3 linked regions of the Canis lupus familiaris genome follow. The protein of the gene in region 3 interacts with the protein of the main gene of each other region in a pairwise test. Links are inferred from orthologs where the notes say so. Each region holds a gene or a part of one and is shown on either strand. Other genes may lie near its edges. The genes, in order: FAM214B, TCF19 and DNAJA3.

The links.
Region 1: the proteins of DNAJA3 (region 3) and FAM214B interact in binary tests that used the Homo sapiens proteins (3 or more experiments, as listed by UniProt). The link is inferred for Canis lupus familiaris from reciprocal best matches to the Homo sapiens genes DNAJA3 and ATOSB.
Region 2: the proteins of DNAJA3 (region 3) and TCF19 interact in a two-hybrid assay, tested with the Homo sapiens proteins (2 studies listed by BioGRID and IntAct). The two-hybrid records come from large-scale screens. The link is inferred for Canis lupus familiaris from reciprocal best matches to the Homo sapiens genes DNAJA3 and TCF19.

Annotation. Positions count from the first base shown.
Region 1 is NC_049232.1:51,983,121-51,993,875, reverse strand, and holds the start of FAM214B (protein FAM214B), read left to right. Parts: upstream 1-5,044; 5' UTR 5,045-5,195; intron 5,196-5,468; exon of another isoform or gene 5,469-5,492; intron 5,493-5,628; exon of another isoform or gene 5,629-5,653; intron 5,654-9,759; exon of another isoform or gene 9,760-9,816; intron 9,817-9,875; exon of another isoform or gene 9,876-10,109; intron 10,110-10,755. UniProt on the Homo sapiens protein: Transcription regulator that may syncronize transcriptional and translational programs.
Region 2 is NC_049233.1:993,637-997,585, reverse strand, and holds the start of TCF19 (transcription factor 19), read right to left. Parts: upstream 2,801-3,949; 5' UTR 2,713-2,800; intron 2,307-2,712; 5' UTR 1,930-2,306; coding exon 1,692-1,929; intron 639-1,691; coding exon 83-638; intron 1-82. Other genes in the region: CCHCR1 (coiled-coil alpha-helical rod protein 1), read left to right, coding at 3,783-3,949. UniProt on the Homo sapiens protein: Potential transcription factor that may play a role in the regulation of genes involved in cell cycle G1/S transition. May bind to regulatory elements of genes, including the promoter of the transcription factor FOXO1.
Region 3 is NC_049227.1:37,254,639-37,265,422, forward strand, and holds the start of DNAJA3 (dnaJ homolog subfamily A member 3, mitochondrial), read right to left. Parts: upstream 6,042-10,784; 5' UTR 6,005-6,041; coding exon 5,794-6,004; intron 66-5,793; coding exon 1-65. UniProt on the Homo sapiens protein: Modulates apoptotic signal transduction or effector structures within the mitochondrial matrix. Affect cytochrome C release from the mitochondria and caspase 3 activation, but not caspase 8 activation.

The sequences.
Region 1 (10,755 bases), on a different chromosome or scaffold from region 3:
ATAAATAAATCTTAAAAGAAAAGGAAAGGTTATGGTGTTATTATCCTGCAGACATTAACCAGTTTTAACTAACTTTTATCTAACATACCTTTTTCAAATGCCTATAAATACTTGTGATGGTTAATTTTTTGTGTTAACTTGACTAGGCCACAAAGTGCCCAAATATTTGGTCAAACATTATTCTGGGTGGATGTTTCTGGATGAGATTAACATTTGAATAGACTGGGATCCCTGGGTGGCGCAGCGGTTTGGCGCCTGCCTTTGGCCCAGGGAGCGATCCTGGAGACCCGGGATCGAATCCCACATCGGGCTCCCGGTGATGGAGCCTGCTTCTCCCTCTGCCTGTGTCTCTGCCTCTCTCTCTCTCTCTCTATGACTATCATAAATAAATAAAAAATTAAAAAAAAAAAAACATTTGAATAGACTGAGTAAACCAGATTGCTCTTCCTAGGTGGGTGGGCTTCATCCAATCAGCTGAAGCCTCACTACAATATAAAGGCTGAGTCAGAGAAAATTTCTCCAGGTGCTCGGTTGGCTCAATTTGTAAGGTATGTGACTTGATCTCAGGGCTATGGGTTTGAGCTCTATGTTGGCTTAAATTACTTAAAAATCTCTAAAAAACAGAGAGAGAAAACATTTCTCTCTGACCGGCCAGTTGTTTCAATTGGGACATTGGTCCTTTATCTTGCCTTTAGAGTCAAACATCAGCTCTTCCTGGGTCTTCAACCTGCTGGCTTTCAGACTACAATCATACTGTCAGCTTTTTATCAGGCCTTTGGATTGGGACTGGAACTATACCATCACCTCTTCTAGGTCTCTAGTTTGCCAGCCTTAAAGATCTTGGGACTTGTTAGCCTCCATAATCCTGTAAGCTAATTCCTTATAATAAAATCTCTCCATCTCTATGTATGTGTGTATGCATATATATGCACATATGTGTATGGTTATGTATATATATGTGCATATATATGCATACATATAAACATATTGCCCCCCCCACCATAACTCTAATACAATACCTAATTTCCTTAGGAGCCTTGGTGTCCATTGAAAGATGAATGGATAAAGAAGATGTGGTTTATGTATACAATGGAATATTACTCAGCCATTAGAAATGACAAATACCCACCATTTCCTTCAACGTGGATGGAACTGGAGGGTATTATGCTGAGTGAAGTAAGTCAATCGGAGAAGGACAAACATTATATGGTCTCATTCATTTGGGGAATATAAAAAATAGTGAAAGGGAATAAAGGGGAAAGGAGAAAAAATGAGTGGGAAATATCAGAGAGGGAGACAGAACATGAGAGACTCCTTACTCTGGGAAATGAACAAGGGGTGGTGGAAAGGGAGGTGGGCGGGGGGTGGGAGTGACTGGGTGACCGGCACTGAGGGGGGCACTTGATGGGATGAGCACTGGGTGTTATGCTATATGTTGGCAAATTGAACTCCAATAAAAAAATTAAATTAAATTAAATTAAAAAAAATTTCCTTGAACGCTCATCAAACATGCTTTATCATCTTCCTTATTCCTTCAGTAATGAGTTAAATGAATTTGTCATGCATTCATTCCATATAATTTTTTTTTAAGATTTTATTTATTTATTCATGAGAGACATAGGCAGAGGGAGAAGCAGGCTCTTTCTGGAGATTCGATCCCAGACCCCGGGATCACGCCCTGGACCGCAGGCAGTCACTCAACCGCTGAGCCACCCAGGTATCCCTCATTCCATATCCTTATTAGAATCTTGCTTTTAACTTTTTGAAAGTTGTACTTTGATGATGTTTTTTAACAAAAAGTGTTGGATCAGTTCCATAACCATATGGGGAAAAAAATGAATCTTGACTCCTACCTCACACCATACACAAAATCTATTGTAGATGAGTTATAAAAGGTAAAATAATAAAGGTTCTAGACAATGACATAAGAGAATATATTCATTAACTTGGGATAGGCAAAGACTTCTTAAATAGGTATAAAATAAAGTCATTATCCACAAACAATGAAATAAATTGGACTATATTAAAGTTAAGAACTTCTCAGACCACCTAGGTGACTTAGTTGGTTAAGCATCTGGCTTCCCCTCAGGTCATGATCTCAGGGTCCTGGGATCAAGCCCCACATCAGGCTCCCTGCTCAGCAGGATGTCTGTTTCTCCCTCTTCCTCTGACCTTCCCCCCTGCTCGTGCTCTCTCTCTCTCTTTCTCAAATAAATAAATAATTTTTAAAAATAAAGTTAAGAACTTCTGTTCATTGAAAAACACTACTTAGAAAATAAAGAAAGCTACAGAATGGGAAAAGTTATTTGCAATAGATTTCTCTAACAAAATAATCATATACAGAATATACAAGGAGCTCTTACAAATAGAAAAAAGACAGACAACCAAATATAAAAATGGGCCAAGGGAATCCCTGGGTGGCTCAGCGGTTTAGTGCCTGTCTTCCACCCAGGGCGTGATCCTGGAGACCTGGGATTGAGCCCCGCGTGGGGCTCCCTGCATGGAGCCTGCTTCTCCCTCGGCCTGTGTCTCTGCCTCTCTCTCTCTCTGTGTCTCTCATGAATAAATAAATAAAATCTTTAAAAAAAGAAAAAAGAAAAATGGGCCAAGGACTTGACCAGGCAAATCACGAATGGTAACCAGTAGGCATATGGAAAGGTGCCCAAATTTACTAGATATCAAGGAAATGCAAACTAAGGCCACAGTGAGATACTTCTGCATATACACTAGAATAGCTGAAATTAAGAAGACTGACAACCTCAAGAGTTAGCAAGAAAGTAGAGAAACTAGACTTCACATATATTGTAGCACCGTGAACTGTTGCTACAATCTCTTTGGAAAAAATTTTGGCAGTATCTATTGAAGCTGAACATATACATGCCCTATTACTCAGTACTTCTAAGTATATATCCAATAAAAATACATGTACATCAGTCAATAAATTTATTTTTTTTAATGTAGAGGAAAAATAAATACCAATTTGGAATAGTGGTTACTGCTGGAAAGAGAAGATGAGGAGCAAAGAAGAGAATGGAATGAGATTAGGAAGGAGTATATAAAAGCTCAACTTATCTGAAATATTAATTTTCTTGAGAATTTAAAGCAAATGTGGTAAAATATTAATATTTGATAAAGCTGTGTGAAAAGAATGTGGGTGTTTGTTATAGTATTCTTTATAACTTTCTCTATGCCTAACATATTTCATAAAGAATTTTTTTATTTATTTCCTTTAATTTAATTTTATTTTTTATATGAGCTTTATACCCAACATTGGGCTTGAACTCCTGACCCTGAGATCAAGAGTTAATATGCTCTACCAACTGAGCCCCTCATAAAGACATTTTTTTAAATCTTGGAGAATACTCAGAGAATGTTTAAGAGCCATTGTAATATGAATATTATTCATATTAATATGAATACCAATACCAATATTGTATATATAAATATACTACATACACACACACATAGGTTGATATGATGTGATAAAACTGGCACTTTGAGCACCTGGGTGGCTCAGTTGGTTAAGCGCCTACTATCGCCTCAGGTCATGATCCTGGAACGCCAGGATCCAAGTTCCAGGATCCAGCCCTGTGACCCAACAGCTCCCTGCTCAGCAGGGAATCTGCTTCTCCTTCTCCCTCTGTCCTCCCAGCTCATGTTCTCTCTCACTTGTTCACTCTCTCTGAAATAAATAAATAAAATATTTTTAAAGGAACGAAAGAGATACAGAAAGAAAGAAAAGAAAGAAAGAAGCTGGCACTTTAACTCATGAGTCTTCCTTCCCAAAACCCATAACCCCAGTCTAATCAATCAGACAAATCCTACTGAAAGATATTCTGTAAAACATCCTATGGTAAAACCATCAATGCCATTGAAAACAAGGAAATCTGAAAAAATGTTACAGCCAAGACAAGTTTAAGGAGACATGACAACTAAATGCAATGTGCTATCCTGGATGGGATGCTGGAACAGAAAAATGGCGTAAGGAAAAACTAAGGAAATATCAGCAAGGTATGGACTTTAGTTAATGATATGTATCATTTAAAGTCAAGTAATTTAGCCAAATTCATACAGCTAGTAAATATCCAACACCCAAAGTTCAGAGGCCTATGCTTTTTCCACTACTCCAAACCCTTCCACCTTTACTCTTTGTAGGATTATCAAGCTATTTGTCTGACAACTTAAACAAGTTCCTTGAGGATAGAGAAAAACTTTTTTTTTTCTTTGAATATCACTGGTGTTCAGTAAACCAGCTTAAGTTAACTACTTACCGAAAAAAAAAAGTCCCAGAAACCTAAAGAATCTGAGACTTTCAGAGAACTTTATCAGGTTTGATCCACAATCTATATCACCAGCTCCACGGAGAGGCCCCATAGACCCTGGACTCAAAGCCCTTCAGTTCTGCAAGGGTCCTGTGCTGCCATCTACAGGTAGCTGGTGAGCGCTGACTTTCCCTGCGGTATCTCGGGAAATCGTGCGGCGAGTGTAAATCGGAGAGAAGACTCAAGCGCTAATTAAATTACAGAACATTTGTAACTGTCACAGAGTTCACTTGACATTTGTACAAAGCAAAGGCCCTACTTCTCTCCGGCGATTGCAGGCTCTTCTACCTCTGTATTAACACGTACGCTCCTAAAATTCACAGAATTCCTTACTGACCCACCTTCCAAAGGTAGAGATCTGGCTGTCATTGCCCATCTCCCAGAACTCAGATTCTCCTGCACAGCGTAGGCTGCAGACATTTGCTCGACCTCACAGACTTGAGACCCTAACAACCAGATTGTCGCATCTTCACAGACCCCTGCGAGTCCTCGCACTACCTTGCAAACCCCACAGCCCTCCCCCATTAGGGCAAATGCATGCGCTAACCCAGACGTTTCCATAGAAAGGCTCGAGTTCCGCAGGCAGCTCACACTAGCCGGAAAGCCCGGGAGAGCCCCAGTCAGGCTCGGTGCCCTCAGGCTAGCGCTTTGATGCCAGCTCGGGCTCCCTCACCCCAAGCCCGATCCGGTCAGCCTAGGCCCGCACCCGGCGGACCAAGGCCCCGCCCTCTAGACCTGTCATCACAGAAGCCGCACGTGGCCGGGGTGGGACCTCAGGCGACCTGCAGCCATCACTTTGTCTCCTCCGCCATCCATTGGGGCCGCAGCCGCCAATCAGAGCCAGCGGATCCGGGCTGGAGCACAGGCGCCCGGGTGAGGCGAGCGGGAGAAGGGGCGGGGGTGGGTGAGTCTCTGAGCCCGACCCTGGCTCGCGGTGGAAGAGGGCCAGGTCCTGGGATCTGCCAGGCTGGAATCCGAGGGGCGGGTCCTAGCGAAAGGCGGAGAGACCAGAAGGGGGCGGGGAGCAGGGAAGGGGCTAGGGACAAGCGGATGTTCCTGGGGGGACGCAGAGAAGACGAGAAGGGGCGGAGCCATGGGGGCGGGGCCTGTGTCACAGGGGAGGAGCCAGAGGCATTAAAGAAACTAGGAAGGGGGACGAACCCCGAGAAGGTGGGAGGTGGGACAAGGGAGGGGGTGGGCCTGGGCGTTGCGGGGGCGGCGCTCGGACAGAAGGGGTGAGGTTTGCAGGCCGAGGCTGCTGCTAGGGCCTCTCTGTAACTGCCCCAACCCACTACCTCCTCAGGTGCAACGGGACTCACGGAACTACAGGTGTGGGGTGGGGTGCGCGTGGAAGAGGGACAAGGATGGGGGTGCGCTTGGGCAAACAAGAAGGTGGGGGCACGTTAGAGAAGGAGAGAATCTGAGGATTGCTGGGGGTGGGGAGGAAGACACAGAGTTGGAGGAGGTCTTGGGGGCTCAAGCGTGTGGGTAAGCAGGTGCATTCTCCAGGGGCTCTTGTGGGGGAGACACAGGAGTGCTTTGCAGAGGTTGGAGGTACAGTGTGAGGGGGCGAGGTCGCTGTCTGACGTGGAGGGTTGGAGGCTGGCTATACTTGAGGGGGAGGGGATCTGAAGTTGCTTGGGGGGAAGCAGGCGCTGTATGATGGAGAAGAGTTGGTGGTCCAGAGTGTGGGAGAGACGGAGGGACACAAGGATTATGTACAGAAAGAAAGGATGGGGTTTTGGGCACTGTGTGAGGGAAAGGGGTTGTAGGCCCCAATTGAGGGCGGAAGAACCCTAGTCCTTTGAGAAAGTCTTGGGGCTTTGTAGAGACTCCAGGGAGGGGCTTGTGTTCTGTGTTCTAGAAATGGCATGATGGAATTGGTGGAGTAAAGCCAGTCCGTAGTGCTCCTGGCTCTTTGGCACCTAATTTCACCTTCAGGCTTGAGGACTCTGAGGGAGGATCCAGGCCCCACTTGCTACTAGGTCTTCTGTGACTATCCCCTCAGTCGGCTTTGGATATGTCTGGCTGAGACTAGAGTTTCTTCCCCCAGCTGGTGTTCCTGTTAACCCCCACTCTAGTTCCTGTTCCTCCCAGAAGCCAGCCTTGGTCCCTGTCTTTCCCCTCCCCCACTTTGCCCTGCCCTATACTCTGGGTGTGCTCATTTCCCACTTCCTTCCTCGCCCTGGGGCCTGGCCTGGGACTTGCCCGTCTAGGAGCTGTGCCCTGCCTGTGCCCTGCCCGGAACTTTGTGCTCAATGGCCACAGACCCTAGTTACCAGCAGTAAGGCCCAGACCTCACCCACTACTACCAAGATCTCTCCTAACAGCCCCCACAAGTGACTGCTACTTTTTTGCCACTTGGCATAAACTTATTTTCCCTACCCTTTTCATTCTCTTGGATGGGGAACCCTAGGACCCTAAAAAATGGGCTTCTGTGGGAAGGGTGAAAATTACTGAGTCTTTGATGTATGTTTTGAGACATGGGCTACTATGGCAGGCTGAACTCCAGAAAGGATAGGAGGTTCCAGCCTCAGCTGGAAGAGGAAGAGAGAATGGCTCCCCACATTCCTGGCTTGGAAACTGATGGTCAGAATCCGAGACTAGGGCCTAGTCCTCTAGGGAGTTCCTTGGGTTCCCTGAGGGGCCTTGATGTAGTGCCAAAGTTCTGTTTGCCCCTGGGCTGGCTAGGAGAGGGTGGAAAAGGCCTGCCTTCCACACAGTGGCTGGATGAGTGTGACAGTGTTACTGAAAGGGGCCCCTAGCCAACCTCCTTCTAGCTGTGACTGGCTGGGGAGGGAGGGGGTACTGAAGCCAGACAAAGCCGTGGGGTAGGGTGGGGTAAGGGAGGGCAGGCTGAAGCCTTTTGAGGAGGAGCTGATTGCTATGGCAACACAGCTTCCCAGACTGTCTCTCAGAGAGGCGGGCCTAGGGCAAACACTCCAGCTTCCTCAGGATTGAGGCATTTGTGTGAGTGGGTGGGGCGTGAGGAGAAAGGGCATCAGTTTGCTGTGCTGAGGCTGAGTATATTGCCTCTCTGCTTCAATACAAGCAGGAGGGCATTCAGACATTTGGGTCCATCCTCTGAAAATGGATTTGAGTGAACAATAGCCATTAGAATCATAGCAATATAAGGCCAGAGTTGCAGAGGCCCTCAGTGGCCATCATCTAATACAACACCTCATCTTACAGAGTTGAAAATTTACAGCCAAAGGAACTCTGACTTTCTCTAAGTCTCACAGTGAAAGAGCAGGAATTAGGACCCAGGTCTTCCGAATGCTGTTCACTCAGCCCAGGGCTCATCATTTCTTTCAGCCAGTGTTTATTGAGCACCTATTATGTGCCAGGCATGGAATACCACCATGAACAAAACAACACTGCTGCTCTCATAGAGCTTCCATTTTAATAGGAGGAGAAAGAAGTGTGTATGTTTATGATGACAGAGAGAGAGACAGAGGCAGAGAGAGGCCAAGTGGTGATAACTGCTATGAAAAAAAAATAAAGCTGGGTTAAGAGTTTGGAGCAGCTAATTAAGGCTCTTGACTGTACTATGCTGCTTTCCAAGGGTACACGGTGGCCTAGAACATCTTTGATCCTTCCCACTGAACTATTGCCCCTCTGACCTTTGCAAGTAACTGAGGCCTGGGCCTATATTAATGGCAGTAAAACAGAACTTACTGCCTGTTCTGTGGTGTCACCAAAGGACTATTAATTTCCAATAGTACTCTGTGTCTATTTGTCTTCCCAGTAAGCTTTTACTAAGGGAAGTAGGTTCTTATTTTGGTACTCTGCAATTTTGTTCAGGATTTTGAAAATTTCCTGAATCCTATTCTTTTGCCTCAGGGAACCAATGAAGAAGTCAATCCAGGGCAACTGGGTTCTTTTTCAGGGTTTTTCTCCTGGTCTAAGGTGAGGAGAAGGGAGCCTAGGGGAAGGGTTACTTACTTATCTTCCTAAGTCTAGGGTACAAGGAGGAAGTACGGGGAAGGGAACCTTTTCTTTACTGTCCACTGATAACATAAGGGCCCTTGGGGCCTACAGCAAAGGCAAGGTAGAAACAAGGACCTTGGGCCTTCTTCTGTAGGCTCTGAACTATGGAAAAATGGAACTCCCCCTCTTCTGGAGACACAACCAGGGAGCCTAACCCTGGCTAATGCCAGTTCTCCAGGCATCATTTTGAGTTGTCCCTCTTTGTTTTTTTGTTGTTGTGGTGGTGGCTGTTGTTGCTGTTTCAAAATTTTATTTTTAAGTAATCCCTACATCCAACCTGGGGTTTGAACTCACAACCCCAAGATCAAGAGTTGCACCCTCCACTGACTAAGCCAGCCTGGTGCCCTCAGTCTTCTCTCTTTTGACTCTGGTATTTGCTTGCTTCTGGGGATGACTGACAGAAAAAGCTTCCTAAGTTTAGAAGCTGATTAGGGATACCTATTTTTCTTAGCTTGCCCCTAAAGCAGCCCCTCTAAAAAAGTGTCTTTTAATGCCTCATCCTTGCAGAAGTTTCCATCCTGGTCGTTTAAAGAATAGGAGGACAATAATTAGGATCACTGATTCTGCTGCCACTTAATTTGGCTGGTTCTGGCCTGAGCCTGGAGCACAGTGACTCAGGGGGAGGGTGGAGAGTTTCGAGGGAGCTGTGAGTCATGGGAGTGAGCTCCCTCGCAAGAGTTGGGCACATCTCCCCCACTAATGGTAGAAGCCTTTGTATCCCACTTCCCCTGGATCCTTGGTCTCATATGAAGAGAGAGTACTGGTAGAAGGGATGAAGCAGCCTGATCTCAGGATGGTAGTTCTGAGACACAAAAGATGTTTAGGTCCCTGAACTAAAATATGTCCCTATCTCAGGAGTCCTTTGGGGCCCCTCTATTGAAGACAAAAGAACATCAATATAGAGGAAGAAAAGGAAGAATATGTTTCTCAATGGAAGGAGATAAGATCCCACTTCTGGACTATTTCACCTGCTGTGGTATGAAGGAAGCTTTCTAGACTTCAACAGTCCTCTGGTCTCTGAAACTCTGGTCTGCAAGGAAAGGAGAGAGAAATGGGAGTGGGGATATTTGGGGTTTGGTGTGGGAAGAGCAGGCTGACTTTGGAGATTGTCGGAATTGTGTCTATGAAAGCCCTAGGGCGTCCTATTAAACACCGTCGGAAGAGGAAGGGCGGAGATGAGAAGCGGGAGGCCTACGCCTTTGAAAGGGTTAAAAGGCAGGGCTGGGAGCTCCTTGGGATTCCGGCAGATGAGGGGTTAAGAAGATGGGCGGGGTCATCCCCGGGTAGGCCTGCCCCCTTGTGGACCAATGGGCCTGCGTCTCTTGGAAGGGGCGTGCCTCACACTTGAGGTCGTGGAGAGGCTGGACTCCTAGGGGCCAATCAGCATGACCGCCGCCCACGGAGGGTGTGGTCTTAGGGGGGCGTGGCGGCCGCGGGCGCCGCGGCGGGGGTGTAGGGGCATTGGGCGGGGCGGGCGGCCCCATCAGCTGGTAGGAAATGGCCTGTGAGTCAGAGGGGCAGCGGAGTCGGCAGCGCGGAGCCGGGGCGGCCACGGGGAGGGACAGTCGCGGGGAGGGGTGCGGCAGTGGCTGGGGGGCTGCGGGCTCCAGAGCCCGCTAGTGTTGCACACGAAGCTGAACAGAGAACAGCCTAGCAAAGCAGGGCTCTGTCTGAGCCACCCTTTGTCTGGGTTGGGGGCCCGTGGTGGGGAGGACCCGAGATTCGAGGGGAGGGACCGGGACGGGACGGAAGGGCCCGGAGCAGCGGCCGCCGCGGCGGAGCCAATTTAAGAGCGGGGTGAGTGTGCTAGGGGGAAAGAGCAAATCTCCGAAGCTCCAGGAGGGAATGGGGCCTGTCCCAGGCTCTGGGGAGGTGAGGGGTGAGAATGGACCTGGGAGACTAAGTAGGGGGTGGGGGAATCGTCCAGAACCAGGAGTCCAGGGGAAGGGGTGAGTCTGCCTGGCTCAGTTTGGAGAAGGTGCTGACATCTGCTCTCTCTCCATTGAGGATAGAGGGTTTTAGGCCAGCGGTCAAGGGGTTGGTGAGAGTGCAGAGTTTGACCTTCCTACCCACAGTGTTGGTCCAATGGAGTAGCCCCCCTAGCTTGTGTGGACATGTTTAGGGACAAACTGCGGAGCAGCTGGCAGTTCTCTCTGAACAGGATGAGGGTGGAAAGCACATGGAGAGGAATTCTCCTTCCTGTCACCCTCCTTGATCAGTGTAGAAATGGTATCTTTAATACTGAAAGGAAGGGGAGAGTGAACCTGGAAGCTTGTACTTATACCAACACCCACCTACCCCACCTCCCAGGCCTAGCAGGTGTCTGAGGTACAGAACCCATGGTATTCTGGGACTTGTTGTTTTTGCTGGCCTTGCTCCCTGGGCATTTTGGGAACTGTAGTCCTTGCCAGCCACAGCCTGGCACAGCTGTTTGACGCCAGCT
Region 2 (3,949 bases), on a different chromosome or scaffold from region 3:
AGAGCAGAGGGCCACCTTCCAGCCCAGGGCACTAAAAAAGAATAAAAAAGGAATTAAAATTGAGAAAGTTCTCTCCACTTACCCAGCAGGTGTCTGTGGGGTTGTCTCTACACGGAGTTTCTTTCTGGGCTCCATAAAGACTGGGGGAGCCTCAGGAATCTCTCCCTCATCATCCAGCTCTGCCAACACTCGGTGAGCTGATTTCCTCCGATTTCTTGGGGGTGGGTCAGAAGGGGTACTCCCCACCTCCCTAGGAGGAGTGGGAACAGGCAGTTTCTGTGGCCCACCCCCACTCCGGGAAAAGGTGAGGGGAAGGGGTCTGAGCTTGCTGAGACTACCGATGGAATTGAGGATCAACGTGGCTTTCGGGGAAGGGGAAAGGGTGCTGAGGGGGCGCTTTGGGGCCCCTTGTGGGGGCAGCATAGGCTGGAAGCCAGTCCCAGTTCCCTCTTCACCACTAGACCTCGGGATGGTAATGGCCGCAAAATCTTGAGGTTTGACTCGGACTTGTTGAAACATGAAGTAGAACTCTGAAGGGCTGGTTCCTGGGGGCCCTTCAGGGCCAAAAGTCACAAGGTCTCCATCACTCAACTCCAGCCTGTGACCCCTTGGGAGTCGGACATTATTGACCAGAGTCCCTGTTGATGGCAGGGCACCAGACAGATACAGAGAATGACAAAAACAGAAATGACCAGAGTCAGGAGAGGAGAAATCTGGCCTCCTTCGCTTTTCTGGGGAACATGAGGGAGGAGAACATGACACTTGTCATCAACTTCTCAACACCTGAAGTCCCTCGGCAGGTGACACCAGATATTAAGCTCCTAGTGAGTTGAGAACAAGTTTATTTTTTATGCCGTCCCACAAGGCATATGGAAGGAATGGACTCCTTCCCTCACTCTGCTGAGGTGCCATCCTCAGACATGTTTCTCACCCAGCTCTAACACAAAAACAGTTAATGGCATACCATGGACTGTCTGGGTTGAGATCTTGGCTCTATCTTACCAGCTATGTCACCTGAAAATTAAGCTATGCTTAATGTTTGTTGTCTGTAAAATGGGGACTGTATTAGTGTTCACCGACATTCGATGCGCTTAGAACAGTACCTGGTGCCCACAGTAAGCACTAAATGAATGTTGGCTCCTATAGTTAACCTAATCTCCCCAACACTCCTGAAACCGACCTTACAAAGCCTTACATTATACCTATGAGGAACTCGAGACCCAGAGACGTGAAGGGACAGCAGCAAAGCCCAGGCCTTCTGAGGTTGACTACAAATGCCTGCCAGTCAAGGAGCAAGACCTATGCCCTGATCATTCAAACATAATGCAACATATAACCGCCTTCAGACAAAAACAAGGTGCCTCAACAAATTTGGAAACTGAGTCATCTGAGTTTGGCTCCCAAGGCCCCAGATCATCCCCACTATGATACTTCCCTGATGATGGCAGGCCCTGCATCTACCTCCCAGCCCCTGTTTAGATGCTTCCAGCTAGGCAGCGACCATTGGGGGCCAGTCCCACAGAGAGCTTCTGACACTGCACACCTTGAGTGGGAAGATGCAGGTCAAGACAACTGTCCATCCAATCTGATAGGGCGTTTGGGAGGCAGGCAGGGTCCCTGTGAAGCCCCTTGATCATTCCAGCCCAGAACTGCAATTGCCCAGGTGCAAGGCTGCCCTGCTTGCTGCTCACCTTGGCTGCTATGGTCCTCCAGGCTGACCCTCCAGTCATCACCCCGGCGCTCAGCGTGCAGCTCCGCATGGACTCCAGAGATGAGGCCAGGCTCCCTCTGGGGCTGCAGGGCCACATCACACAGGTCGGCCCTACAGCCCAAGCGATAAGTGCAGCCAGCCCCGTTAGGGGGGTGGAAGGTGTAGAGATCACCACCCCTGCCTCCTCCTATGCGCAGGAGCTGGAAGCAGGGCAGCATGGGTGGTGCCCTCTCTGCACCACTTCTTCCACTTCAGGAGTCTATCACCTGTCCCACACCAGAGCCATGCACGCTGCCCTAAGTTCACTTTCTGTCTGATGCAAATTTGAGCTGTGCTTTGTGCTTTTTTTCAACTTTGAGCACAGGCTTGAATTTGTACCAGGGATCAGTGGTAAAACTCAGAGGAGAACCCAGGCCTGAGTAGTGCAACTTCAGAGTGCAGGGCGCCTAGGCACGGGATACAAACAAAACTGTCAAGCAGCTTTGCAACCGAAGAATTCGGGGAAGGTCCCAGTGCAGCGCAGAGAGGAACACGTCCTGTGGCACCTTGGTGGAGCCGGATCCTCAGGCTGCCCCAGGTATTCAGGAGACTCAATCTGTGCAAGGCAACAACACATTAGGCGCCTCCCAGGGAAATGCAGTCTGTAGATGGGTGTATGGGATTCCTGCTCTGTACCACACTACCTTGTCACCTCTGTAATTTGTAGAAAAGAAGCTTCCTATCAGACTTGCTTATCCAAATCGAGTAACCGTCCTGCTCGCCCGCGCCGCCTCGCCCTTCAGGCCAATCCCTCTCACAACCAGTTCCCTTTAACCCCAGCGGGAGGCGAATCCACTGTCCCCCAACAGACAGTGAAGACGGTCCCTCGGTTCTCCAGCAAAGCGAAGCTAAGCCCCGGCTTCCCGGCTTCTCCGGGCGCGGCGCAAAGGGGAAGGGGCTCCCGCGGTCAGGCAGGGCCGCCCCAGGCCTTCCCTCCCGTGCCCGGCCTGGTGCCCACCTACCGCGAGCAGCCTCCACGTGCCGTCCCCCGCAGGCAGTGCCCGAGCTCGCGCGCGGCCGCCGGGTGACAGCGGGGAGGCCGGGGGGGGGGGGGGGGGCGTGGCCTCCGCGCGCGGGCAGCGCCTGGCCCGCCTTCCGAGTTCCCGGGCCCGAGCTCGGAGCGACGAGCCCCCACCGGCCCTCCTGGTTGGCCGCTTCCGTTGCCCCCCGCCGCTCCATTGGCCGGCGCTCTGGAGAGCTCCGATTTCCCGCCTTCCGCCTCTCCTGATTAGTTCTCCTGTTTTCCCGGGTTCCCGGAGTTGGGAGGGGCCGCGGGCGCGCGGAGGCGTCCCCCACGGCCTGGGGCCTGGGGCCTGGGGCCTGGGGCCTGGGGCCTGGCTTTAGACCCCACTGCGCCTGCGTGCCCTTCCCCTCCCCCCCTCCCCCGGCGGCCCGCCGAGCCGCCCGCTCTGCGCAGGCGCGGTGGCCGCGCCCGGGGCGAGGGCCAGGGGTGGTGGCTGGAGGGCGGAGGGCGGAGGGCCTCGCGCTCGGTAAGGGGCGTTCGGGAAGAGTCGGTTGGGGGGCGGGAAGGGGCCGACAGGGGGTTCGGGGTGGGCTCAGGGGTCCATAGGGGAAGAGGGGCACAGGGACCAGGGGAAGGAGCAGATGAAGTGGTCCCAACGGCCTTAGAGCCCCGGGTCCAGCAGGGGAAGGCTCGGGTATCGGGGGAGACGCGGGAGTGGAAAGAGCTGGGAGCCTGCAGGCGTGCAGTTGGGAGGGGATGCGGCCGTGAGGGACCAGAGTAACGCTTTCAGGAAGGAGCAGATGAGGCTGTAGGGAGGGTGATAGGAATCCCAGGCAGGGAGACTAGGTGCGTTCTGGTGGGAGGGTAGGGAGACCTTGAAAAGACCTCTCGTGTTCTGGACCCCGGAGAGAGGACGGTAGGCGGCAGGAATGGCAGCTGAGGGCATAGAAGAGGGAAACTGAGGACAGCGGCCGGAAGGCTCTGGATGAGATGTCAGGAAATTGTTTTTTCGGCCAAGGGGTCTAGGCTGCCTGTTCCCAGGGGACCTGGGCAGGTGTCCTGCCCTACATGTGGCCACATTCATCTGGGCCCAGGCCTTGGGCCAGTGCTTTAATAGGGAAGGACCCAGGAGTCATGGCTTGGTGGTGTCTGGATGGGCTTCCAGAAGGCCTTGCTGAGCCATGGAGAAAACTCTGGAGATTGGGCTCACAGCCCCTGCACTGCGTACCTCCTTT
Region 3 (10,784 bases):
CTCTTTGGCCAAAGGGGAGCTCGTGTGGAAGGAGGCAGTACAAACAAAAGGGTAACTTTTTACTCCTAAAAAAGAAAAAAAGTAAAGAAAATCACTCTAAGAATGTGCTCAACCAAAGGAAATTTTGAGTAAAGAACCAGCCAGGTTATACCCATAAAGTAATGGAGATCACAGCTTTAGGGTCAGCTTTTCTCTCTCTGGAGACCAAACTCACTGCATTTCAAAAATGGCCAAGACCACAGTATACAATGAATATAAAACAAACAGCACCGGGCAGAGCTGATTCTGCTGGATCACAATACAATGAGGTTGTACCCTCATTACACCACCAAAGGAACAGCACCCCAGATGGAGGCTTTAGCTGGGGGATGATTAAAAAGGAACCTAGTCCCACTGTTACATTACACAAGCACCTGCCATGTGCCAGCTGTCTTCATATGCTTTCTCCCTTAATGCAATTCCCTAGGTTCTTGCCCTCCACCATGCAAAGTTGGGGATTTGCTTCTGGGGTGGTTCTCAGAGTGGACCAGCAGCACCACCAGCTTGTTGGAAATGTCCACCTTCAGGCCCCACCCCAGACCTGAATCAGAAACTCCAGTGGGCTATGTTTAATAAGCCCTCCAGGTGATGATTCTGCTCATCACATGGTCAATTTGAGAACCACTGTACTAAAGAAATTATTTTTAGCATTTAAAGTCACAGATCTAAGGGAATCCGATAAAAGTGCTGCTCCTCTCCTTAAAATAATACACCTAAACAGACACAAGGGGTTAAAAGGCCCTATGCCTGAACCTGTTTACCCCAGAACAGCTAACAGGTCAAAGCCCAAGGCAGGCAACCACATGCTGGTATCAGCGCCAGGAGGAACCGCCATCAGAACACTCTGTCCCACTCAACAGCTCACTGTGCATGTGGTAGAGAATCAACTTGGACTGGTCTGTCACCAAGTGAAGCAGAGGGAGCCACCCCACACCTTGAGCCCTGTCTAACCCCCAACCCATCCTGTGACAAGGGAAGACAGGGAAGGCAGGGCTGGGGGAGGGGAAGGGAGCCAAGTTAAGGCAGAGTCATGGCAGCTCCCGGTTTCTTTTCTTTTCGTTTTCTTTTTTTTAAAGATTTTATTTATTTATTCATGAGAGACACACAGAGAGAGGCAGAGATGCAGACAGAGGGAGCAGCAGGCTCCATGCAGGGAGCCCAATGTGGGACTTGATCCCAGAACCCCCAGATCACACCCGAGCCAAAGGCAGACGCTCAACTGCTGAGCCACCCAGGCGTCCCCAGCTCCCAATTACTAAGTCAAACTTCTGCCTACAGAGAAGCAGCTTATGGATTCACCATTCATTCATTCAGCAATTACTCACTGAGTATCTACTACTTGCCAGGCACTGGGTTCTGGGCTGGGAATAGGCAGCAGACCATTCAAAGGCACTGCCCTCCTGGAGCTTACATATATTTAAGATCTTAACATTGTAGTAGGCACTGAAGATACAAGATGAAGAAAAAAAGCCAAAGCCAGCACTCTCAAGGAGTTTACAGTCCTGCAGGGGTGTGTCGGAGGCAGTGTGCAAAGAGGTATTAGTACACAAGGACATGCAGAGTCACATACACAGAATCACCTAATCAGGGTTTCTTAAACCCAAATTGTTGACAGTGGGATTCCTCCCAGTGGAGGGGCTTTTCTAGGGTTATAAGCTAATTGTGTCCTCTTCATATGTTGTGTCCCCATTCATATGTTGAAGCCCTAATCCCCAGTGCCTCAGAATGTGATTATAATTGTAAATAAGATCTTTAATCACAACTCTGCCAAAACATTGACCTTAGACTTACAGCCTTTAGAACTGTGAAGATAGGGATCCCTGGGTGGCGCAGCCTTTGGCCCAGGGCGCGATCCTGGAGACCCGGCATCGAATCCCGCGTAGGGCTCCCGGTGCATGGAGCCTGCTTCTCCCTCTGACTATGTCTCTGCCTCTCTCTCTTTCTCTCTCTGTGACTATCGTAAATAAATAAAAATTTTAAAAAAATAGAACTGTGAAGATAAATGTGGTTCTTTGTTATGGCATCACTGGCCAACTAAAATACCCATATGTCAAAGGATGTTAGGCAGCATCCTGGCCAACTACTTAGAAGTAGTATACTCTACTCCCCCTCTACCCTGCCACACACTGGCAATTAAAAATGACTTCAGACATTGCCAAATGTCCTGTGGGGGGTGAGGGTGGTAAAATCATCCTCAGTTGAGAATTATTGACGATCCAATTGAAAAAGTTCAGGAAAGGTCTTTTAACTGCTATTTAAGTGTAGAAATTAACCAGGCTAAGGAAAGATTTGAATCCACCTGGAATCACACCTACAGTCCTGACATTTGCAATTGCTTCCCCTTTCATGTTCAAAAGTGCCTCATTTGGCTGCTAAATCATGTATCACCTTTGGCTTACATAAAGTCCTCGTGCATTTAGTTAACTGGGCCATATAACGAGATTCTACACAAGTAGAGAGGGGTGGTTTAGACATAATGATGCTGCTGATTAATGAGGCCTAGAAATAAACTGAAGGGCCTCTGAGCTATGGGAAGGACTCAGGATTTTATCCTGAAGACAACAGGGAGACACTGCAAGTGTTAAACAGGGAATTGATCAGCCTTGCATGAGAAAGCACTCTCAACAACAACAAACAAGAGGCCTGAGAGACCACTTAAAATTAATCTGAACACAAAACACAACCAGGGGTGTTGAGGCCAACCAGAAAAGGGGCAAGATAATCAGCCAGGAGGGGCACCTGGGTGGCTCAGTCAGTTAAGCTTCTGTCTTTGGCTCAAGGGTCCTGGGATGAAACCCTGCAGGAGCCTGCTTCTCCCTCTTCCTCTGCCTGCCACTATCCCTGCTTGTGCTTTCTCTCTCTGTCAAATACATTTTTAAAATCTTAAAAAAAAAAAAAAAAAAAGATAGTAAGACAGGAGAATGTGTAGGAATGAAGCAAGAATGACTGAAATCAGAACCAGCGAGCAAATCTGTATTTTCAGCATCCCCATACTCGTTTTCTGTTGCTGCACCCTGTTGCTGGAGCATGAAAAGTAGACTGTGGAAGTAGTGGGGGTTAGGAGACCACAGCTGTCTTTCTTTGGTCAGATCTGAGAAAAACAAGAGCTAGTTTCCTAGTGCTCCTGTACTCAGCCCCTCTTCTCTCAGGTGTGAGGAGCTGTCCTGGTCCTGTCCAGCCTTTCCTTTTCTCTCGCTCCTTCCAATCCAGAAGGCAGAGACTAGTAGTGGCAAAGGCTCTGGCAGCTACAGCTCCAAGGACACAGGCAGAGAACTTGGGATGCAAGAATGGGACAGTACTGTGCAAAACTGCATGCGAATAAAGACAAATCACATTTAACTACTACAAGTCTGATGACTTTTGACATTATCCAAAAGGCATCAATGATTAAAATAGAGTTCACTTGATAGACAAATGTTTCTCCAAGGTATGATCAATAAATGCCTTGCCTTTATTGGAACAACCAAGAATAGGATCAGCCACCAAGTTGTTCCAAGAATGACCGACCCAGTACCAAATAACAACCTTTTTTCTGCCCTGGGAGAAAAGCTATATTTAAAGTGCTATTTTTATGTCACCTAATTGTACCACCAGATTTGAGAGGAGATCAAAAACCAATGTTTGAGAGCTGAGTTGATGATTTTAGATATGATAACAGAGTGCATCTTGAAGGATGCCAACTCTCACATATGTTCATCATGTGATACAAAACATGCTCATCATGAGCAACGTGCTGACCACAAGTCCTTAGTAATGGCTCCATGAAGGCTCAGTACATAGCGCCTGTCCCTCTCATATATACACAATCAACAAAAATGCTCCCCAAACTTGTACAAAGGTAATGTGAACAGAATTAGCTTAATAATTACCTAAAGGACAACTGAACAGAACGATGCAGCCAAACTCCATCTAAAACAACCCTGACATTAGAAACTGTTAGGAAAACAAACAAACAAACAAAAAACTGTTAGCAGAACTCAAAAACGACCACTTTTGCTCATACTGAGAAATACAGTGTGAAGCTGCTCCAAGGAAATCTGAGTCCACTACTGCTCCATCTGTGACTAAATATTGGTGGCAGGAACAGAATAAATAAATGGGATCACTTGACCAAAACCTCATCCAATCTCTTTGTCCTCTGCTAAATTCCCAGTACCTAGAACAAGTGGCTAGCGTATGAAAGGCACTCAATAAACACCTATTAGTCATTGAACCACTTTTCACAGTTAAGAGAGGCTCAAAGGGATTAAATACCTCTCTCAGATCTCTCCCAATTCTCATATACACACGCTCCAGTGGAGGAGGCCAGTCTGTTCACTTTACAAAGTAATAAAGATTACTGATACTTTAATGACTGCCTCTTAGGCAAGCATTACAAAGTTGGACCCCACCAGGCAATTTCCTTTATAAATTCATAGACAGTGGGCAGCCTGGGTGGCTCAACCGTTTAGCGCCGCCTGCAGCCCAGGGTGTGATCCTAGAGTCCCAGGATCGAGTCCCACGTCGGGCTCCCTGCATGGAGCTTGCTTCTCCCTCTGCCTCTGTGTGTCGCTCATGAATAAATAAAAAATAATCTTAAAAAAAAAATGAGTTGGACCCCTGGGCGGCTCAGTGGTTTGGCGCCTGCTTTTGGCCCAGGGCGTGATCTTGGAGTCCCAGGATCGAGTCCCACATCGGGCTCCCTGCATGGAGCCTGCTTCTCCCTCTGCCTGTGTCTCTGCCTCTCTCTCTCTCTCTCTCTCTCTCATGAATAAATAAATAAAATCTTAAAAAAAAAAAAGAAGTTCATCGATAGCTTTAATATTATTTGCACAAATTCTACGGAAACATAATCAGTAACATAATCCAGACACATGGCTGGTTATTCAATGTTTCCTCCTTCCTTCTCTTACTATAATGGAAGTCATCCCACACAGAACAGAACCATCAACGCTAAACACTTAGAGGTTTAAGATGGACCAAAATTCAGTATCGCCTCCAGCAGTCCAGAGAGCCGGGACTTGAATCACGGCTCCATCTTCCTGCTCGGTCACTCTACAAGCTGTTTAACATCTAGGCTTAGTTTCTTTACCTATACAACGGAGTGGAACAATGTCTATCGCATGGAAATGATCCAAGCCTGGTGCGTGGAAAGTGCTCAGTAAATGTCAGCCTGCATTTTTATTACAACCGCCAACATAAGGTCTTAGAAAAGACCGTTACGAGTGCCCTTCAGTTAAAATCATGCGGCAGAAGGAGTATGAGCTATTAAAGGACAGCTTGGGTCTGGGATGACGGTTCTCATCTAGCTACAGGACGTCGGCTGCCCGTTCCCTAATATGAGAATGACGCCGCCCTTCCTGCAGGACTGTTACAGTCAAGTGAAACGAGGCACCAAGTGCCGAGCACTACAGCAGGTGCTCACCGAATGGCAGGTACCTCTTCCCTTCCGGCCAGAAGGTGAAGGGAGGAGACGGGAATCGAATAGGGTAACGGAGCAGTGGCGGCCCAGAAGAAACTTCTAGAAATGTTAGAGAGAAGTGAAGGCGGCGCGCGTACGGAGCGTTCCTCTCCCGGCGCCGGGGGCTCCAAGCAGCTCTCCCCGCTTCACTTCTGAGAAGCCATTTGGGCCTCTGCCTCCTGCTTGCCAGTCTCTCCAAGCAATTCCGCATACAGGTCAGAAGCCACCCTCCACCCCGCCACCCCCGCAGCGGGACCGAGCCCACCCCCTTCCGGGCCTCAGAGCCCCTCTCGGGCGCCGGAACCTGCTCTCACCTTTGAAGCTGACACCGGGTGTCAATGTCAGCAGTGCCCCGGAGCCCCGACCTCCCAGGGAAGGCGCGGAGGTACTGACGTTCAGCTTGTGGCCCAGCGAAGCCCCCACCACGCCCCCCCTAGACGGCCGGGCTCCTCTCCCCGCTGCAACTGGCAGCCGCGGAATCCCCACGGCTACCAACAACCAGCGTGAGGAGCACCACGCCGCCATCTTGGCCCAGGGCCACTGCGCCTGCGCCACCCGGCTCAAGGAGGCCTCGCGAGAACATCGCGCGGACGAAGCTTCGGGCTTCCGGAGGCGGAGCCCGGTGCAAGCACACGCGCGGACGCACGGGTTGCGCACGCGCAGCAGCGCTCAATGGTCCTTTCTGCTTGCCAACGCTGAAATGAGGTTTGCTCTGAGGAGTGCAACTAGGTACAGTGACCCTGAAAAACCCCGTCATTCTGTGCTGGATGGCCAAGAGTGTACCTTATCTGTGTAAAGACGTGGTCGAGGGTAGCCAGATGTGACTATTCGGAGGGTCCCGGCGAAGGGCGGGACTACAAAAATCCCGGCGTGCAACGCGGCCGTCCGTCGCGCCGATCCCAACATGCAGTGCGCGTCTCCTTTCAACCCGACCCGACGCTCAGCATCCCGCCTGAGGGTTGCTCGTCTTGTGTCAGCGCCAGCCCGCGGGGCCTCTGCCCTACTTCCAAAGCCTGGCCTCAAGCTCGCTTTCTCTCTGGCTGGTTCCTCATGGGGCGGACTTCGATCATTCGGTTCTGTCCTAAGCGTGTTAGTCTCCTCCAGACCTGTAATGAACTTACCAGTCACAAATGGGTGTAATAAATGTTGCGAGCACCTGCTGTCATGCGCGTTTTTCTAGACTCTTCGGGCTACAACGATGAATGACGTGCCGTCCCTGCTCGGGGGCGGGGAGCAAACGCCGAATCGAGAGACACGGGCTCCGCAGCAGCTAACATAACACGATCGGTGCTGTCGGAGGTGTGAACAGTGTCAGGGTCACGGAGGTGACAAATTGAGGGGCTGGGGTGTCAGGGAAGGCATCCGAGAGGTAACATTCTAAGTGGACTTTGAGGACAAGTGCGTCAGGTGCGGGTGGAGAGGCGGAGGATTCCCAGAAGCAGGAACTTAAAAAGTAGATGTTTGGGGCACCTGGGTGGCTGGCTCAGTGGTTGGCGTCTGCCTTCGGCTCAGGGCGTGACCCCGGGGTCCTGGGATCGAGTCCCCCATCGGGCTCCCCGCAGGGAGCCTGCTTCTCCCTCTGCACTTGTCTCTACTTCTCTCTGTGTCTTTCATGAATAAGTAAATAAAATCTTTATTAAAAAAAAAAAAAAAAAAAGCAGGGGATCCCTGGGTGGCTCAGCAGTTAAGGGTCTGCCTTCAGCCCAGGGCCTGATCCTGGAGTCCTGGGATCGAGTTCTACCTCCGCTCCCTGCAGGGAGCCTGGTTCTCCCTCTTCCTGTGTCTCTGCCTCTTTCTGTGTCTCTCATGAATAAATAAATAAAATCTTAAAAAAAAAAAAAAAAAGCAGCTGTCTTAGAGGTGTGAAAGTCCTTCTCCGGTTTGTTTAAGCCCTAAACTTAGGGGGTGTGACTGGAGATGAGGCTAGACAGATACACCTCGCCTAGTAAGCCTGGTAAAGGAATTTCTCTCTCTCTCTCTCTCTCTCTCTCTCTCTCTCTCACACACACACACACACACACACACGGGAATGCCACCCCCACATGGTAAGAAGGGAGCTTGAGGGTTCACCATGGGTTTAAGATGATGTGTGCTCCTTGCCCCTTCTGCCCGTTGTACCCAAATTCTTGTGGATGTGGATGTTAATCTGGGTAAAGAGCCATAGCTTTCATTGATCAAATTCTTCACTGAGATTCAAAGAAGTTTTAAAAACCACTGGTCTGGGGCACATGGAATGGAGCCCCTGGTTGGGCTCTGTGCTCAGTGGGGCAGTCAGCTTCTCCCTCGCCCCCCACTCCTTGTCTCTCTCTCTCCCTCTCTCTCTTTAATGAATAAATAAAATCTTTTTAAAAAATAAAATGGGGAGGGATCCCTGGATGGCGCAGAGGTTTGGTGCCTGCCTTTGGCCCAGGGTGAGATCTTGGAGACCCGGGATCGAATCCCACGTCGGGCTCCCGGTGCATGGAGCCTGCTTCTCCCTCTGCCTGTGTCTCTGCCTCTCTCTCTCTCTCTCTCTGTGTGTGTGTGTGTGTGACTATCATAAATAAATAAAAATATTAAAATAAAATAAAATAAAATGGGGGATCCCTGGGTGGCTCAGCGGTTTGGTGCCTGGCTTTGGCCCAGGGTGCAATCCTGGAGTCCCAGGATCGGTCCCACGTTGGGCTCCTGGCATGGAGCCTGCTTCTCCTTCTGCCTGTGTCTCTGCCTGCCTCTCTCTCTCTCTCTCATGAATAAATAAATAAAACCTTAAAAAAATAAATAATAAAATGAAGGGGCACCTGGGTGGCTCAGTGGTTGAGCGTCTGCCTTCAGTTCCGGTTGCAGTCTCAGGGTCCTGGGATCGAGTCCCATATCAGGCTCCCCGTAGGGGACCTGCTTCTCCCTGTGCATATGTCTCTGTCTCTCTCTGTGTGTCCCTCATGAATAAATAAATAAAATCTTAAAAAATATAAAAATAAAACAAAATGAAAGATAAAAACCACTAATATAGTGAAAAAAATTCAAGGCTGTTAAGTGTAAGGAGTAGTTGAGAGTTTGGGCTAGTGAACCTAGAGCTGAGGCCTTTTAGAGAAACAAGGCAGAGATGTCATGACATGGGAAGTGGAGAAAAGAGTTTACTTAATATGTTTAATATTTAAATGTCTTCAGCATCATGATTAAGAGTATGGGCCCTGGAATCAGATCTCCTGGGATTGAATCCCAGCCTTGCCACTTACAGCTGTGTGTCCTTGGGCAACTGACTTTACCTCTCTCTGCCTTGGTTTCCTTTCTCTAAAACAGGGACAGAATGGTAACTCCCTCAAAGGAATCATCTAAAGAAAGAATGAGATAATCCATGCAAAGGCTCCATGCGGTATTTGGCACATAGTAAGTCATCAACAAATGTTGTCCTATGTGCCAGGCCCTGTGCTAAGCACCGAGGATACCAAGCAGAACTCAGGCATAGTTACTTGCCCACAGGGAGCCCAAGGGGTAGGAGTGGGGGAGGGTGCTGGATGAGAAGTACAACTCTCAGGAATAAATGTCGACAAGAGGCAAAGGGACTTTCATTTACCACCTTAGAGTGAGTTAGGAACTAATGGAGGGCTCACTAATATGAAAACTTGGTCAGTTTTGTAACTTCCTCATATTTTTGGTATTTTAGTTTTCCCCCCATCCATTTCCCCATAGTGATTAACAGTAAAAATCCACACTGAGGGATCCCTGGGTGGCGTAGCAGTTTGGCGCCTGCCTTTGGCCCAGGGCGCGATCCTGGAGACCCAGGATCGAATCCCACGTAGGGCTCCTGGTGCATGGAGCCTGCTTTTCCCTCTGCCTGCGTCTCTGCCTCTCTCTCTCTCTCTCTCTGTGTGTGTGTGTGACTATCACAAATAAAAAAAAAATCCACACTGAAATGGGGTGTGTGTACTTGTTTTAGGGGATAGCAGGAAGGCTGATTGCTGGAGAGCCTGTGTTCCATCTCAGAAAGCAGAGAACTCCCCAGGAAATGGAGTGGGTGCCGGTGGCTACTGAAGGAGAGAAAGATGGATTTTGGGGAAACCACCAGAAAGACTCTCTGATGAGAGCAGCCTCGGCCTATGCAAGATCCCTTTCACTGCTGGTCACTACAGGGAAGCAGGAGATGATACAGTTAGGAAACATAGGTAAGCTACAAAGCTCTGGAAATCTTCACGACAGAGGTCCTTGGTCCATGGTACCTGAATTGCCTTTATTGGATAGTTGGTTGAAGGACAATGAATAAGCTTATTTATATTTCCCTAACGCCAAGCTGAAAAACCCAGGGAAGAAGTTGTTTAAGGGCGAAGGATGATGACTTGTAGTTTGGACTTATCATGCTTGATATGTCTGTGGGACCAATTTCAGGCACTTAGTGGCTATGGAGAGATCTGAAAAAGCCCACTGTGTTAAGAACATTCTCTTTCCAGTTCACAAAGAGCTTTGCCATATTTTCTATTTTGATCATAATTGTGCAAGGTAAGGCAAAGGCTATTCCTGTATTTACAAATGGACTCCTTTCTCCCCACACCCCCTACACACAATTAAATAAACTCTGGAAGATAAAAAAAACTCATCCAGAGTCACAGAGCTAGTGTGTGAGTGAGCCAAGACCCCCTAACAAAACCCACAGCCCTTCCCTTTAAACCATGCACCTCCATGTCATTGTGATCAGTAAGTCCTAGTCAGACAGGCCTTACCAATTTACAAAATACTTTCTCATGCTGAATCTCCTCTGCTTCTCACAAAAAAAAAAAAAAAAAAAAAAAGGGAGGCAGGGCAAGTATCTATTACCACTCCACCTACAGAATATTTCACTGCCTCAAGGACTTCAGCTGTGACAGGACACAAAATGACTCATCCCAGGCTTGTTGCCAAAAACTGGGATGAGCACCTGGGCCACATCTACCTATATTCTCCCCCCAAGGCGGAATGCCTCATGTGTCCATCACCCACTCTCCCCCTTCTCCAGTCTAAAGCCAAAAACTTTAGCTTTAAGGAGAAACAAATATGTTTTGCAAAGGCACACAAGGCTCACAAGCTTCTCCCCAACCCCGCCCCACACTTGTCATTTTGCTGTTCCTCTAGTCCCTTTCCCTGTCTCCTGAGGCAGTGAGGTCAGTGAGAGCTAGTAGGGAAGTTTGGTTGTATTTTGTTTTTAAGTTTATTTCTTTATTTAAGCAATCTCAACACTCAACGTGGGGATGAAACTCCTGATCCCAAGGTCAAGAGTCGCATGCTCTTCAGACTGAGCCAGCCAGGCACCCCTAGTAGGGAGTTTTAAGTATGGTCTAGTCCATGATTTCCT